Arabidopsis thaliana: one gene and its partner. The protein of the gene in region 2 interacts with the protein of the main gene of each other region in a pairwise test. Each region holds a gene or a part of one and is shown on either strand. Other genes may lie near its edges.

Region 1 (7,155 bases), on a different chromosome or scaffold from region 2:
TTCGTGAAAATGTTGGAATCTTTAGCCCTCGTTCCCTAATCTTTAGCCCTTTGTTTGACCCTAGTTATAACTAGTCCCTGTCTCCTGATTATGAATTATGGTTCTCTTAGTTAGCATTCTACCAAAGGATATTAAAAGACAAAGACTGGGATTTTCTGATATTTTTGATTGCTTATTTGTTGTTACATATTTAGAATCGGCTATTCTGGAACTGATTTAAGGGAGAGACTTAGAGTGAACGACCCAAATGGCCAACAGATTTGAATCTGCTAGTGTGGCAGAAAGACTGTCCAGAAATTAGTAAACCGGTTTCATTGTAGTTTAAATCCTAATACTTTCTTGTGCATTTAGTTCCAGTTTACTGTATCTTTCATTTCTGGCTACAGTAATCTTGCATTAACGGTGAAATCGATTTCCGCATGCATCCAGACTTACTGAATTGTTATGTCCAAAATGTGTAGGTTAAGGAGATTCTCTCTTACTATCCATCCAATTACAAGCAGTCCGCAGTTATTCCTCTCCTAGATCTTGCACAACAGCAGAATGGAGGCTGGCTCCCTGTTTCAGCAATGAATGCGGTATGTCTTCTAAGATTTTTTTGTTCGATTTTCTCTGTTAAGACTTAATTTTATGTACTTCTTAAGTTCTTTTTTGGAATACAACATTCATTGATATGATTTTACCGTCATAACAATGCAACAAACTTTTGCAGGTTGCTAAAGTTATAGAAGTTGCCCCTATCCGTGTTTATGAGGTTGCAACATTTTACTCAATGTTCAACAGAGCAAAGGTAAGAAGTACTTTCTACCCCTAAACTCAAGTCTCTACTGTACTCAATGAAAGACGCATTGCAGGCTCATTTTTCTTTTGCTCTTACAGGTTGGAAAGTATCACCTTCTAGTTTGTGGCACAACACCTTGCATGATCCGTGGTTCACGAGACATCGAATCAGCTTTGCTAGACCATTTGGGAGTGAAACGCGGTGGTAAAGCTCTATGTGCTTCCTTTCATAACCAAAATCATATGGAGGTGATGATCAGTCATAACGATCTTTGGTCTTAATGTTTTTTGTGCAGAGGTCACAAAGGATGGTTTGTTCTCTGTTGGAGAGATGGAGTGCATGGTATGGATTTTGCGTCACCTCAATTCATTAATCCATGCAGAACAATAACCAAGATTAGTACTTTCACATGAAAAGATTCAATGCAGATCTAATGTGTTTGGTTTTGTTACAGGGATGTTGTGTTAATGCACCCATGATCACTGTGGCTGACTATTCCAATGGATCAGAAGGATATACATATAACTATTTCGTATGTCAAATCTCGTTGAACAATTTTTCTTTTTCTCCTGCATTATCCTATTGTTTATGTGGGTTACGTCGGAAGAGTGAAATCATACTTACACTGTCTTATGCTACAATACACAGGAAGATGTTACACCTGAGAAAGTCGTAGAAATTGTTGAAAAGCTGAGAAAAGGAGAAAAGCCACCGGTAAGACATTAACAACCCATTGCATTTGGATACTTTCCTGATGTTCTTCTCTTACTATTGCATTACATCGGTGGGGGAAAACAATCTGGTTTCGGTTAACTTTCCAAATTGGAGAACGTAGCCTCTAAGCCAAAATCCAAATCCAAAATCCAAATCCAACTTCTTATAATGTTAATCTTTGTTTTTCAGCATGGAACTCAGAACCCGAAGAGGATCAAGTGTGGACCAGAAGGAGGGAATAAGACACTGCTTGGTGAGCCTAAGCCACCACAATTCCGTGATCTTGATGCATGCTAAAGCTAAGTTCTGTTTGCCGCAGTTTTATGTGGTTCAATAACGCAAAGGCTATAGCGATGTATGTTTGACGCCTGTACCGCATCAAATTGAGTTTGCATACTCTTTGTAGTCTTCTTGGTTTTGGAATTTAGACCCATTTTAAACAAATTGCCAAATCATCTTCGTTTATTATTATCTCACTCTAAGATTCATGTGAAATTGTAATAAAAACAAAACTTTTATCTGTTACTTCAAAAGACACAAGATTTTCCAAACTTTACTCAAAAAATAAATTTGGCAGAATGATTTAATGAATCACATGAAATAATCATATCAATAACTTTAATTCTTCGATGAGTTTTTTTTTTGGCTATATTTTTCCAAAACTAACAATATTAATAAAAGTTGTATTTTGTCTTCACTAATCAATGCAAAATGTAAACATGCAAGTTTAAATTGATACATGTTCTGTCCAAAGTGTATATATCTTAGCATTTGAGATTTGGAAGTTAAAATTGTACACGTACCACTAAAAAAAAGAAGCACAATTCATGGTACTTTCTCCTAAAATATTTGCTTTATGTTTCTAGTGTTATCAAACAAAGGATGGTTACTAGATCAAACTAATAATATTATTTGATAATTAATTATACTACTCCAAAGTCATACAAAATAAATAATAATACAAGGGGTGACAAATTACAAATACTTGTTTTTTCTTCAATTTGAACACAACTCAACAAGGTCCCACAACTTCCCACTACTACTACTACTAATAAATAACACCCTTCAAGCTCCTTCCTCAACCTCCCACTAAAGTCTTGAAAACAAAAAGTTGCTTTCATCAAAGTCCACCTAAAATAAAGGTACAATGATTACAATAATACTTGATCAATTGAGCTTTTTGACATTTTTTTTCCCTCTACTGCAAATCCTACATTGATTCCATCTACAAAGCCTTTTTCACTTTTTTACCTTTCAAGTGGGTGAGAGAGGAGAGAAGAAACCAGAGTCATTAGAGCAGAAGAAAAACCCATGTTGGACAGTTGGATTAGCTGTACAAACTCTTTATTGCAGAAATCCTACTGTGGAGGATTGTTCTCAGGCTTGACCACTGAAGATGTATCCGGAGGTTGAGAATGGTAAATTGCCATTGCCAATGAGATTGGCATCATACAAAGAGCCTTTGATTGAAGAAGCTGCATCGCGGCTCCAACGTTCTCTTCCATCAGTTTAGCCACTTGACGTTCAGTCCCATCGTTAGACCATTTCTCCCACGCTGGTTGCGGAGTCCTTCCACCCTCACCCGTTTCATCCTATTGACATTTTAAGCAAAATCTGAATCAAAACCCCATTACTAAAGTTTTTACTTTTTGTTCTTAAAAAGTTTTTACCTCAACTGATGATGAAAGAGGCATATCAGTAACAAGTGGAGCAACCGCACCGGCTCCACCAAGTCGGCTCATGCTCAAAACCTACCAAAGTTGACAAAGAGAAACAGATATCATTGAAAGTGATAAGCTTCACCCCATGAAAATTATATATATAAAAAAAGCTTTTACTTTTAGATGAGCATGGAAGATTTCACAAGAAACACATTTTCTATTTTTAAAACAAAAGATGTATTATCTTATCAGAAATCCATCATTGCATTCTGTTTCTTTAGTGTCTCCATTATCTTATAAAGTAAAGAGACTTCCTTTTTTCGCTTGCGAGAGCTTTAAGTAACCGACTGCATTTTGATATAAGAAGCATTTGATGATCTACCAGATTACTATATTATAATGTGAACATGATGATTGTAATTATTGTTGAATATGGTATTATAATCATAAACTGTGATTAGGCTCCCTATGACAAAACAAAAAGTGAAAAGAGACTAAATGCCAAAGAAAACAAAAGCATTTTGGACTTGTTTATTCTTTCCCACATTAAATAACTGATCTAATCAGATTGAAATTTGGTTGAAGGGTAGGTAATGGTGGGACCAGAATTAACACCAAAAATCCATCCAGAGAATTTGAAAGACATGATCTTTAGATCTCTAATCTTATGAACAAACAGATTAAACATATTGCATAGGGAGTAATAAGATAATTCACAAGAAAGAGAGTTCGAGTTTAAAACTGCAGAAGAGAGAAGAATATACCTTGACTTGGAGCCTGAGAAACTTTACATAATCGACAATCTCATCGATCATAGCAGCTCTATCGGTCTGCACACGAAGACGGGAGAAACAGAAAGTGTCAAACTTTCTAGAGAAATTATATACAGGTGAGGGTTAGGGTGAAAGGTACAGACCTTGTTCACAGTAGGTACAAGTTCCTGCAGCGCCCTGATCCGTTCTGCTATTCTTTCTCTACGTAGCTGTGGTAAAGTAAAACAAACTTTTAGGTAATCCCTCCATAAAATCAAGAGATCATTACACAATGTTAACATTTTTTTATATCCGAAACATATTTTCAACTACAACCAACTCGCCACCAACATAGTATATCACAGGGAAATACAAAAGAGAATCTGAAATATACCCGCTCAGCGATGCTATGTGGATCAGTAGCCTGACCACGCCTAGCTCGAACCCTGGGACGGATTGAAGTAGGCTGATGTGGGGCCGATGGAGGTGGCTGTTGCATAGGCTGCCCGTGGAAAACCTTCCAGACAACACACAGAAGAAATAAGACCAAACGAAAATAAACCATTTGCACAAGGATTTGACTCCATTAGTTGTAAGAGAATAATTTAAGTTAGACCCTTAAGATTACTCATTTGACCAACTTAGAAGGCAAGATAAGCCACGCAGCTACATGAACTAGTGAGAAGTTGCTCATAGAGTAACAAGAGCTAACCTTAGTTTACTAAACAAACCAAAATCGATTAGATTCAACAAGTCTGAGCCAAAATAAAGCACATAACGCAAATCATCAACTTTGTTAAAGTTACTTACCACAAATCAAAAACTAAAACAAAAGTTACCAAAAATGTTCTCTTCAAAACCCTCAAATTCGATTTCTTCCCATTTCTAATAATCAAACACCAAAGCAAGAACAGAACTTACAGGTTTCATAGAAGAACATCGATTATCAACAACATCATCTGAGAATCTTTTCCCACTTCCATGTCCTCCTTCAGGTCTAAGAAACCCAGGTCCTTTCCCTTGATCAAGACTTAACCCCAAAGGAAACATCTGATTGTGAAACCCAGTTGGTCCACTTCCTCCTAAGCCACCCATGTGACTTCCTTCTTCTCCGGAACCCAACTGCAGCATCATAGGCGGTGCTCCACCACCTAATCCTCCGTCAACTCCAGATAAACCGGCGGCAGAAGAGGCTGAGAAGTTAGGAAGGCCGAGGATTTGCTCGAAGAAATCATCAGAAGGAGTTTGGTCAGAAAGGTTGTCGTGAGGGTTGTTACTAGCCATGGTTTGAGCTAAAGACAGAGACTTTGACTCGAACGAGTCACTGTGAGTTACGATTAACGAGTTAGGAACCTTCAAAGAGAGATTTACATGCGAAAGCTACAGATTTTTTTAATCTATTTTGGGTTGATGAAATTTTGATGCTTTAAAACGAATGAGGACGAAGAAGACAGAGACGAGAAAGGAGCAGAAGAAAAGTGAAAACTTTATGCTCTGTTTATAAAAAAAATATCCTTTTTGGTAAAAGACCTTACTTTTTCAGATTATTTCGTTTTTGCCATTTTCTTATTTTCCTTCCAGAAACAAAATAAAAATATATAAATGGGCTGGATTTTATATCATATTTGGGTCTTCTTTCTCTTCTTCTAAATATGGGCCTTCAATTCAGTCTTTGTTTTTTTCTTTATGGGTTAAAGTCTTCTTTAGTTTTCCTTATAAATTACGTTAAACCTCTAACAATTAATTTATAGAGGTATTAATTATTAGTAAATTAATAATTAATAATTTCTTTAACATTATTTTTTGCTTATGTTTTAATGTTTACTTGATTTTTTTATTAAAATAGTTTCTTTGTTTTTGTTTATGTTTTTAACTATTATAATAGTTGTAGTCAAACATAATTTAGTAATCTTTTTAATTAATTTTGAAAATATATGATATACTTATAATTGCCACTAGATATTATATAATTTGAATTGATGTATTTGGAAATTGGAAAAATACACTGAGACCAAACATTTGCGATTTTATACGGCCGAAGCGGTCGTTTAGGTGTTACGAAAGTGGAAATGGTGCGTCGTGGAATTGCACTGAAATCATCCCCACATATCTCCTCCCGCCTCTAATAGCTTCTGGTTCTTTCCGTTCTCATATATCTAGCAGATCCACTACCTATCTACCATGACGCCAAGTAGTGACGGTACTGTCCGTCGTACTTATTGCTCTCTATTTTTAGAACATGACGAATGAATTGTAGTTATCTATTATTGTATCCCTCCTAATTCTAATTAATGTATTCAACTATTAGAATGTATTGAAAAAATCGCTTATTTTTCTGTTTGTAAGTTAAATTTTCCTATATCACTTATTGAGATGTTTACATAATTCAAAAACGTCACATAATTATCTTGCGAGATATAATCAAATTCGAGATATGCGCTAAGCAAACAAGCTCCAAATAAAGTATTTCAAATTCAAAAGAGACAATTTAGTTTCCTAGAAAATGTTTTCTCTCTTCTATCACAATTCAGGTTGATTCCCAAGCTTGTCGATATGGAAGATTCTGTTTGCTAGCTTATCAATCTCAGCGACTCCTCTCTCTAATTTGAGTCTACACCAACAAAAACTAAAGGGTTCACATCATTATGCCTAAATGGAGCTCATTTATAAAGGAACAACTTGTGCTTAAGGAGGTAATTCTCAGACCAAACACGAACATCCAACATAAGAAGTAATAAAAGCTAAGAAAAACAGTTATTTACAAAAATCAATAAATAAAACAAGTTTTGTTTTGGATGAAAAAAAAAAAAAAAAAAAAACAAGTTTTGTTTTGATAATATATTAACACAAAAAAAATCAGTTAATCAACTTAATAGTTTAATATATTAATTATTATCCCTTTAAGAATTTTTTTTTCTAATGCCCTTTTCATGATGCCCTTTTTCAACTTTACCCTTTTGTTTTATCCAATTTTATTTCTACCCTCTTTAAATTTTTAATGACCATTTTACCCTTATTTGGAAATTGTTTTAGGTTAACAAAATGAAAAATTAATATTTTTTCGCCAAAAATATTCCAAAATAAATTTCCCGCCAAAATTTGTTTTCAAACATATTTTTCCCGCCAATTTTTTTTTTTTGGCGGGAAATAGATTTACAAGGGATTTTAAAAGAGTTTTAAAAGATTTACAAGGGATTTTATAGGGGTTTTATAAGATTTACAAGGGATTTTAAAAGGGTAATTTACA
Region 2 (8,434 bases):
TTTGGGCATAACACCGTTTTGTCAGGGAATGTCTCTCTTCGTAGTACTCTTCAGCGTAACCCCATTTGTTTTTTTATTTATTAATTTGTCTTTTATAGCCCCACAAAACTTAAGTAATCGAATTCCATACATCATCTTTTGTTACTGACGCTTAATTTGTTGTTCCAAAATTCAAAATCCTCACTCTCTGTGACTCTGTCTTGGTAATATTTTTCAACAAAAATTGTTACAATTGAGTGTATAATCTTTTTGGATTAGTTATCCTGCTCTAAACATGTGGAGGTATGGTCATTTTGAAATTCTTTAATCAAGAAGAAGAAGAAATATAGGGTTTGTGTGCCCAGAAAAAGCGCGGGACCTGCCTGTTTTCACGAGGGACGAGGACTCGAGGAGGAAAGATTCTTGATGCGTCAGCAAGACAAGACACGTGGAGGAAGATGAATGGATAGGCAGCTGGTGATGATGACACATGTTGATTATGAGGGCTTTGGGTGGTCGGGTAAGAAGGAAGCAAAACACACCCATCACCTGTCAGATTCTCACTTGTCCTTTTTTTTTGTGCCTTTTAAATTAGTACTACTTAAACAGTGTCACTCACTCACTCACTATGCTACCTTTTTAAATCTCAAACGGCGGGGCGAGAGCTCACAGTTTGTTTCTTCTGGGCTTGGTAAGATAGAATGATGATGGGCTTTTATGAGCCCAATCGGGCTCTAGCCCAGATAGAAGAAGATTCGATATACGTCTATAATTATAATCCTTCTTTGAATAGAGAGAGACAGAAACGAAGGAGAATTGATTATTATGAGTATCATGATGAGAGAAGGAAACAGAGGGAGGAGAATTGATTATTGCCATTTTGCTTATTTATACTGTTTGTGTATTATGTGTCCCTCTTCAATTTGCTGATCTGAAACATTATGTGACTACCATTTGCATAAGCCTTATGTATTTCTAATGTTCAAAGAAGCAATGTCCTTCTCTTATTCCCATTTTGTCTCTTTTTTGAGATTGAAATTTGCATGTTCCTTGGTTCTTGGTAGAGAGAGTTTAGAGTCAGTTGTGTTTCTCATTCCTTTTTGAAGAAATTCATATAACCCCTATACATTCTATACAGTAGTTGTGTATCATTGAAAAACTTTATGCATGTTATATCTGTTTGGCAGTTCTCTGCTTGGGTTTAGCTCTTAGTTGTTGTAATGAATATGAAATCTTAGAAAGACTAGTATATTCCGTATATGAATTCTTCAGACAAGTATAGAAAGACTACTAGAAAGCTCTTAGTTGTTGTAATGAATATGAAATCTTAGTCGTTTTCTGTTGTGTAGTGGGACAATATATATATATATATATATATATATATATATATATATATATATATATATATAAGTAAGTTTGGATATATTCTTGGTGAGAAGTGAGAATCTTATGAATGAAATGTTCTGACTTTGCATGTACTAGGTACTTGATAGCATCTCATACGATGTACTATCAACATCCGATGATGTTTCTCAACACGCTCGCTGTATTTATATGGTGGTTGCAATTTGCAAAGTTCCCGCACATGCACAAGGTTCGTATCTTTGGAATCAATGCAGAACAATGAAATTACGCTAATGAGATTTGGTATATGTCTAAACTGCTCTTCTTGAAATGGTCAATATCACAAGTTGGCTAAAAGAACACAAGCCAGTTTTGTTATCTTCTTTTGCCCAAAAAACAGATCATCTTCTTAAGTTTAAACCCGAGGTTAAGGTTTTTTTCTTTCTAAATCCTATAATATAATATATATACAGTCGACATTGTCAGTTTTGGATTGTTACTTACTGTTGTTATGTGAAAAGACAGAAAACGAAAAAGAAGGATGATTTGTTGTGTGTGGTGTCATTGCTGACCAAGTGTGCCATGTTTGATGTGACTCTTTTTCCTTGACTAAACAAAACAGCACTCCAATCGGTCTTTTCTTTTATGTCAGCAGAATTTTTGTACTTGTAAATATCCAATTGAAAATGAATCTATATTGTTGTTAATAATCGAGCAAACAAAGTGAATTCCAAACTGACTAGTATTGTTGATTACATTTGACACTGTTCTGGTTCGGAATTAATAAATTTGTCCTAGTTGGTTAGTTGTGAATTATATAAATGTGAAAACAAAAGGTATGAATCAAATGAGAAGTGTTGTTGGAGAGTCAATTGCAACAGCAACTAAATCTACGAGCTAGATTGCCATTTGCCCACAGAGACTCAAAAGGTAACGATGACTTTTGGAATGCGACTACAAACAAAACGGGCTTTAAATTGTCCACTATTAGTTCACATGTTCATATCTCTCTCTTTTTATAACACCTAAGATAAAATGGTTATAAGCTGAATTCTTTAACTAAACCAAACTCATCATCTGCCACTTTACCATCATAACCCTCTCTCTCTCTCTTCATATGCTTAACACCCAACAAACATGTGTTGTAGTATTGATCTTCTGTGCGAGAGAGTTGTTGGAGCAATGATGATGGTACGAAGTCCAAGAGGAATGTTGGGGGTAGGTCCATTTTTCTATGAGTAAAATTTTATTTTATACTTTTGCATTTGAATGAAAAAGTGCCTTAAGAAACTGACTGTGTTTTGTGGTCTCTCTTTCTCTTCAAACCCGCTTCGACTCAATCATCCTTTCCCCTTTCAAGTGTTCCTAAACAAACAAAGAACCAAAACGATTTCATAACGAGAGTCTTTTCTCTTGATATTCTTCACTACAAGGGTTTTAGTAGAATTTTTGTAAGTATAAATAAAGTGTACACATGTGATTAATATCGGAATTAAATGGGTTTCGGGTTTAGCGAAAGTATACACTAGCATATTGAGATGACAGGCTTTATGTCTCAAAGAGGACAATGACCATTTCTCTCTACACCTCTGAATTTGGTACACCGGCCTTTACACTAACTAAAATTGTTTCGTTTGTGACACTAATATATACACCATAAATATATCAAGATTAATGGAAAGATGTCATAAAGTTAGGTAACTAACAACTGAGATTGATTTAAAAGAGAGTCTAAATACATACAGTATCCATCCCCAACCCAACAAAGTTAATAATAATTTTTAGAAAAGGAGAAGGAAACCAAAGGAAAAGGACTAAAATAGTAAGCACCCAGATTATATAGTTAACCCTCTCATCTTTTTAAAACATGGGTGAAAAATGTAATCATTTCTTCTAAAAACTCTCATGGGATGGGGTCCATGACTAAAATTATTGCCATGAACCACCAGATGCAGCAGCAGAAGCACCAGCACTTAACATGCCACTCCAAAACCCAACAGATTGGTCAGCTTCTCCTTCTTCTTTCTCATGTTCATGATCACTATGCTCATCATTATTCTCTTTCAGATTGCCATTCCCACCACTATTGGTGCTTGATGATGAAACTGGAAGTTTGAGGAGGCTCTCAAATGGCAGCAACGGCCTTCCATTATTAGTGCCACTGGACCCCTCTTCTTGACGTAGAGGATCCCCACCATCAAGAGAGAATCCCAAAGCTGGTCTCATGAACTCTTGAAACTGTGGGTAACTCAGACCAAACCCGGATGCTGTGTAGACCGATGAATCATGAACATTTGGATAAGACATGAAAGCAGGGCGTGAGTTAGAGGAAGCAGAGGAACTAGAGATCCCTAAAAGCTCCAAAGACGAGGAAGTTGAGACCAGTGGGTTGTTCTTCATACTGCTGCTGGGTACTACTTGCAGAAACTCTGGGATACTACTGTGATGATTGTGACCGATCCCAAACCCTTGAGAAAACGCCAAGTTGAGATCTTTAACCTCGTGGGCGTTCCCAAACCCTTGAGAAAACGTCAAGTCTTGAACTTTAGTAGCGGCTGCTTCACCAATCTTAGGGTTAAGATGAGGAAGAGGAGGCGTAGGCGTGTTGTTGTTGGCAAAAAGAGGTTTCTTTGAAGAAGAAGACGAAGAGGGTGAAGAGGAAGAGGAATTGGAAGAAGATCTCTTGTTCTTGCGGACGCCGCCACCGACGGGGATGTTCCTGAGGGAACCACCTGCGGTCCAATACCTCCTGCAGTCTTTACAAAAGTACCTGGGCTGCGTCAGGCTGTAGTTGTTGTAGTAACAGAACTTGGTGTTTAAGGAGTTGCATCTTGGACAGTTCAAAGCCTGGTCTTTCTCCGGTCTTGCCTTCCTTTCCACAGGAGTAGCAGGAGAAGGAGGATTCGACTGTTGTTTTAGGCATGTGTTTGTCACGATCTCGTTCATTGGCTTCACAACAAACTCCTTTTTTATTTTTTATTTTGGCAAGAACAAACACAAAGCATACAATGGAAACTTTTTAATACAAAACCAGAATCTTTTTTTGATGAAGGAGGAAAGTAGTGAAGATAAGTATACCTGAGGCCATTTAGCAGTGTCCATGGCTATGGAAATTTGCAGCTGATCAAAAAAAACTTGAAGAGGAAGCTAAGGAGAAAGAGAGAGAGAGAAACGAAGAAGTGTGTGTGGAAAGGTAAAGCTGGTTTTTGAAAAAGCAAGAAGAAGACGAAAAAAGAGAATTTAAACAATTTAATTATATTTCTTAAAAAACTGTCACTTTTATTTGAAGGAATATATAGATACACGTATATTGTGTGTATGTGGGATTTTTGATGGATTCTTCGTAAGAGAGAGAGATAAGAGAAAGGGTTTGGTCTGACTCTGACACACTCTGAACTATGCGCCCGCCGTCCCACGAATCTTTTTCATTTATCTCTTAATTCTAATAATAAAATTGTCCCATTATTCATGTGTTTCTTCTTACATATCTCTCTCTTCTCTAGTTTTTGTTTGTTCTTAATTCTTACCAAATCTTTAGGTTACTAGTACTAATACTATTCCCATTTGATGAACGTGTACAATGTGTCATTTTTCATTTGAGGTATTATATATTATAGAATTTTTTTTCTTTTCTAAGAAATGGAGATTTTAGCTAGGGTAGCATTTTTTGTTTAACTATGGACGCTAATTTATCCATATTTGATAGTTGTTTTTGATTAAAAATTAAAACTGTTTTTACGGGAATATTTGTACAATACTGTATTTAGTACTAATGTATAGTACATTTTATAAAAAGAAGTGTATTAGTCACGTCATGACTCCCCTATCCATTGAAACATCTTTTGCTGCTTCCACTTCCTTTCAACTTTTGTCCCTTTTATCTACAATCTATAGTTGCACTCGGATTTTTCATAGTTATTTTCTATTAAAAAATATATTTACAAACGTAACAATTAGCAGAGAAAATTAGAGTTTTTTTTTTTTTTAAATGATATTGAAGTGAAAGCACATTTATATATCCGCAAATATAAGACATATTTCTCTTTCAATCATTTCCAGTACAAGTGTTTGTGACTTTGTGTGCTACATGTGATGAGATGTAGAAATTAGAAGAAAATAGAAGAAATGTGAAGAGTGGGGGAGTGTTGTGTTAAACAAGCAAGAGAAACGCCTCTACTGACATGAAGACCCAAATACCTTTTTTTAGTATATATAAATCTAAGGGTCCAGATTCAACCTCTACTTCCTCTTCCAGCCGTTGATCTTTTTTTATTTATTTTGATCAAACCAAAGTCTGAGCAGTAACCGGCGTTTGACGGATGAGTAGACCGGCGGCGAACTGCAGCCGTCAGATGTGGGGGGGAATCACGCAGAGAGTGGGACAGTGAATCTCTTGAGAAAACGACACGTGTCAAAGGATTTGGACTCCACAGGGGGAAGAGCACCAAAAAGTCTGTAGTAGTAGAGTAGTGGATGTGGTGTATGACAGTATTGAGTCGGACCTGAAGAGAGAAACCGAATAATATTTGGTGTGATGTGTTGTTGTTGATGTTGTTTTTGAGTTGGACGGTGGAGATTAGTCATCTTGTGGGCTCTACCTGTTTGGCCTTATTTCTCTCTCCCCGTAAGAAACGCATCCTCTCCTTCTCTTCTCTTCTCTTCTCTTCTCAGCCGTCCGATCTCGAGAGTGAGAGCCGACCATCTTCTTCTATTGCGATCCACCTCAGCTTCTACCCCCTAGGTTTTGTATTAGGATATAGAGCACCTTTATTTTTTGTATTTATGTAAACGAACACACACATTTTTCATTTTCCTTTAACGTCAAGAATTTTCACAAATGCTGTTCAAGTGTGCCCAATATAAATTCCCCCACGCAAATTATATACTTCAGTTTTCTGTATCCACAATTCTTCCTTGAATACATGTTAGATATCATTAGTATAACACATAATTAATCTTGATACCAAAAAAAAAAAACACATAATTAATCAATGACTTTATATCCTCCATATGCATCAATAGTGTTTTAATTTGCTTAAAATGCGACAGTTACCATGCAAACGCTTTACATAAGTGACTTTTTGATTAAACGTGACAAATATTCCACGAATTCGATTGATAATAAAATTCCAATTTAATACCCTTGATAATTGTTTAAGAGTAGTAATATCATATTCTTTACAGATCCGGAAAATGATTGAAATTCAAGTTTAACCTAAGCATGTCCAATGGTGGTTTCTAACCATAGTTTCTAATCTACTAAAGTAATAATAAAATAAGAAATAATATTATTTAATTTGAAAAGTTTCTTAAAATAGGTAGAAGAGTATTCAAAATCTCTTGAATTAGAAACTCTCTCACATTTCCTTAAAAACTATCTTAATTAAATAATATTATTTATTATTTTATTATTATTATTATAGGTTAGAAATTTTGCTTAGAAACCACTACTGGATTTGCTCTAAATACCTAATATGCATGACACATCTCACATGCATGGTAAGTGTGTTAAGCATCTCAAGTAAAAAAAACATAAAAATCTTTTAAGAACGATCCATATGATCGATTGTTTACATGTCAAAAAAAACTATTAACCATCTTAAACGCATGTTAACAAGAAAAGCTTCACTTATACCTACAAAATATCAATTATTAATTTAACCTTTGTACAAAAAAAATATCAATTATTAGAATTTTAATAGAGTACAATATGAAAATTGTAACCGAAATTAATCAAATATGAACTAAATATACTAAATTACATTTATTTTATGTGTCAGATAGCATATGCGAATGATGTGGACATATATAGCAACTAAATTAAGCGAAGCTACAAGCTAGTGTAAATGGACACTTGCTTTGGTATCTATAGAATCCATTATTATTTAGAAATCTAGGTTTTTGGGACCAAGACAACCAATATGGCTCTTAGATAAATGGGCATTTGATGTCTAATATGGTGGCCGTCCATTTAAAAATGGTGATCCAGGTAAAACAAAATTTTGTATCATTTTCTATATCTATGATTCAAAATCTAAAATACTATTACCTTTTTAAAATGTGTAAACAAATTTCGTACTCCTAAAGATATAACTTAAAATAAATAAATGACTAGAATAATTTGTTAAATATGGATCGCAGAAACATGAGCAATTTACTTACTATTCTTATTCTACAATATAAAGCATGACTTATTGACCCAAATGTCCAACCAAAACCTTCTGTCTTTGTTGTTGTTCTTAAATAAAATGATTTACGTATTGGTGATTTTCAAATGGTAAGATTGTGTAATATGGAACTGATTTACGTCAACCCCCGAGAATATAGGGCGACCCATCGTTGAGAATTGGACCACACATCAGTTGGACAATTGGTTAGTTATCATCCAGTTCATCGTCCTATAAAATGAAATTGGTACTGTTGTAGGGTCAGTGCAAATAGGGTAGAAATAAAGACCTAGTGGTAGGGTTTTGACCGCATAGTCTTCCAACCTTAGCATATGAAATCAATAATAAAATTCTCTAATGCATAATTTGTTGGGTTTCAAACTTATTTTTTTGTTAAATTTTGGTTTTCAAACTTAATTTCAGAGTTAGTTTGAATGCAATAATTTGTTTTCTTTTGAAAAAGTAGTTTGAATTTAATAAACTTACTTAATTCATAAACAACTTGTCAAACAAAAAGTCTAACCTTATAAGTTGTTTTCAAACGTCCAATATAGAATTTAACAAACATCTTCGAAATGATTACTATTTTCGGTGCATCTCAAACCAAATCCCTTAACTATATTTCGACCATTTTATTTGGATCAGTGAATCAAAACTTTAATATTGTATTAAGTTTTATGGGTTTTTAATTATCACAATTGACGACAAATAGATGAATTACGTATATATCAGTTGTTACTTCATGTCACTTGTGAAATTGCTAATGTGGAATCCTAACATGTGGTCTTGGCTCATGTTCATCTCCTTGGTTGGTTAAATGGTTAGAAATTCTCAAATTAGAATGATTCAGTTGGTAACATAACTCCGCTTGCTCGAAATAAATTAGTATACACAGGTTTTTTGTTGGGTTTCTTCACAACTGAGCTACGAGGCTACCTAGTGAG

What was found. Proteins that work in one complex are often made in the same cells at the same time.
Region 1: the proteins of AT1G64620 (region 2) and UNE12 interact in a two-hybrid assay, tested with the Arabidopsis thaliana proteins (one study listed by BioGRID).

What each region holds. Positions count from the first base shown.
Region 1 is NC_003075.7:1,135,115-1,142,269, forward strand, and holds UNE12 (basic helix-loop-helix (bHLH) DNA-binding superfamily protein), read right to left. Parts: upstream 5,427-7,155; 5' UTR 5,193-5,426; coding exon 4,830-5,192; intron 4,426-4,829; coding exon 4,303-4,425; intron 4,139-4,302; coding exon 4,073-4,138; intron 3,987-4,072; coding exon 3,921-3,986; intron 3,247-3,920; coding exon 3,166-3,246; intron 3,088-3,165; coding exon 2,854-3,087; 3' UTR 2,373-2,853; downstream 1-2,372. Other genes in the region: AT4G02580 (NADH-ubiquinone oxidoreductase 24 kDa subunit), read left to right, coding at 462-578, 713-790, 880-985, 1,077-1,123, 1,236-1,313, 1,430-1,495, 1,685-1,792. UniProt on the Arabidopsis thaliana protein: Required for ovule fertilization.
Region 2 is NC_003070.9:24,003,279-24,011,712, reverse strand, and holds AT1G64620 (Dof-type zinc finger DNA-binding family protein), read right to left. Parts: upstream 4,801-8,434; 5' UTR 4,426-4,800; coding exon 4,402-4,425; intron 4,288-4,401; coding exon 3,253-4,287; 3' UTR 2,298-3,252; downstream 1-2,297. UniProt on the Arabidopsis thaliana protein: Transcription factor that binds specifically to a 5'-AA[AG]G-3' consensus core sequence.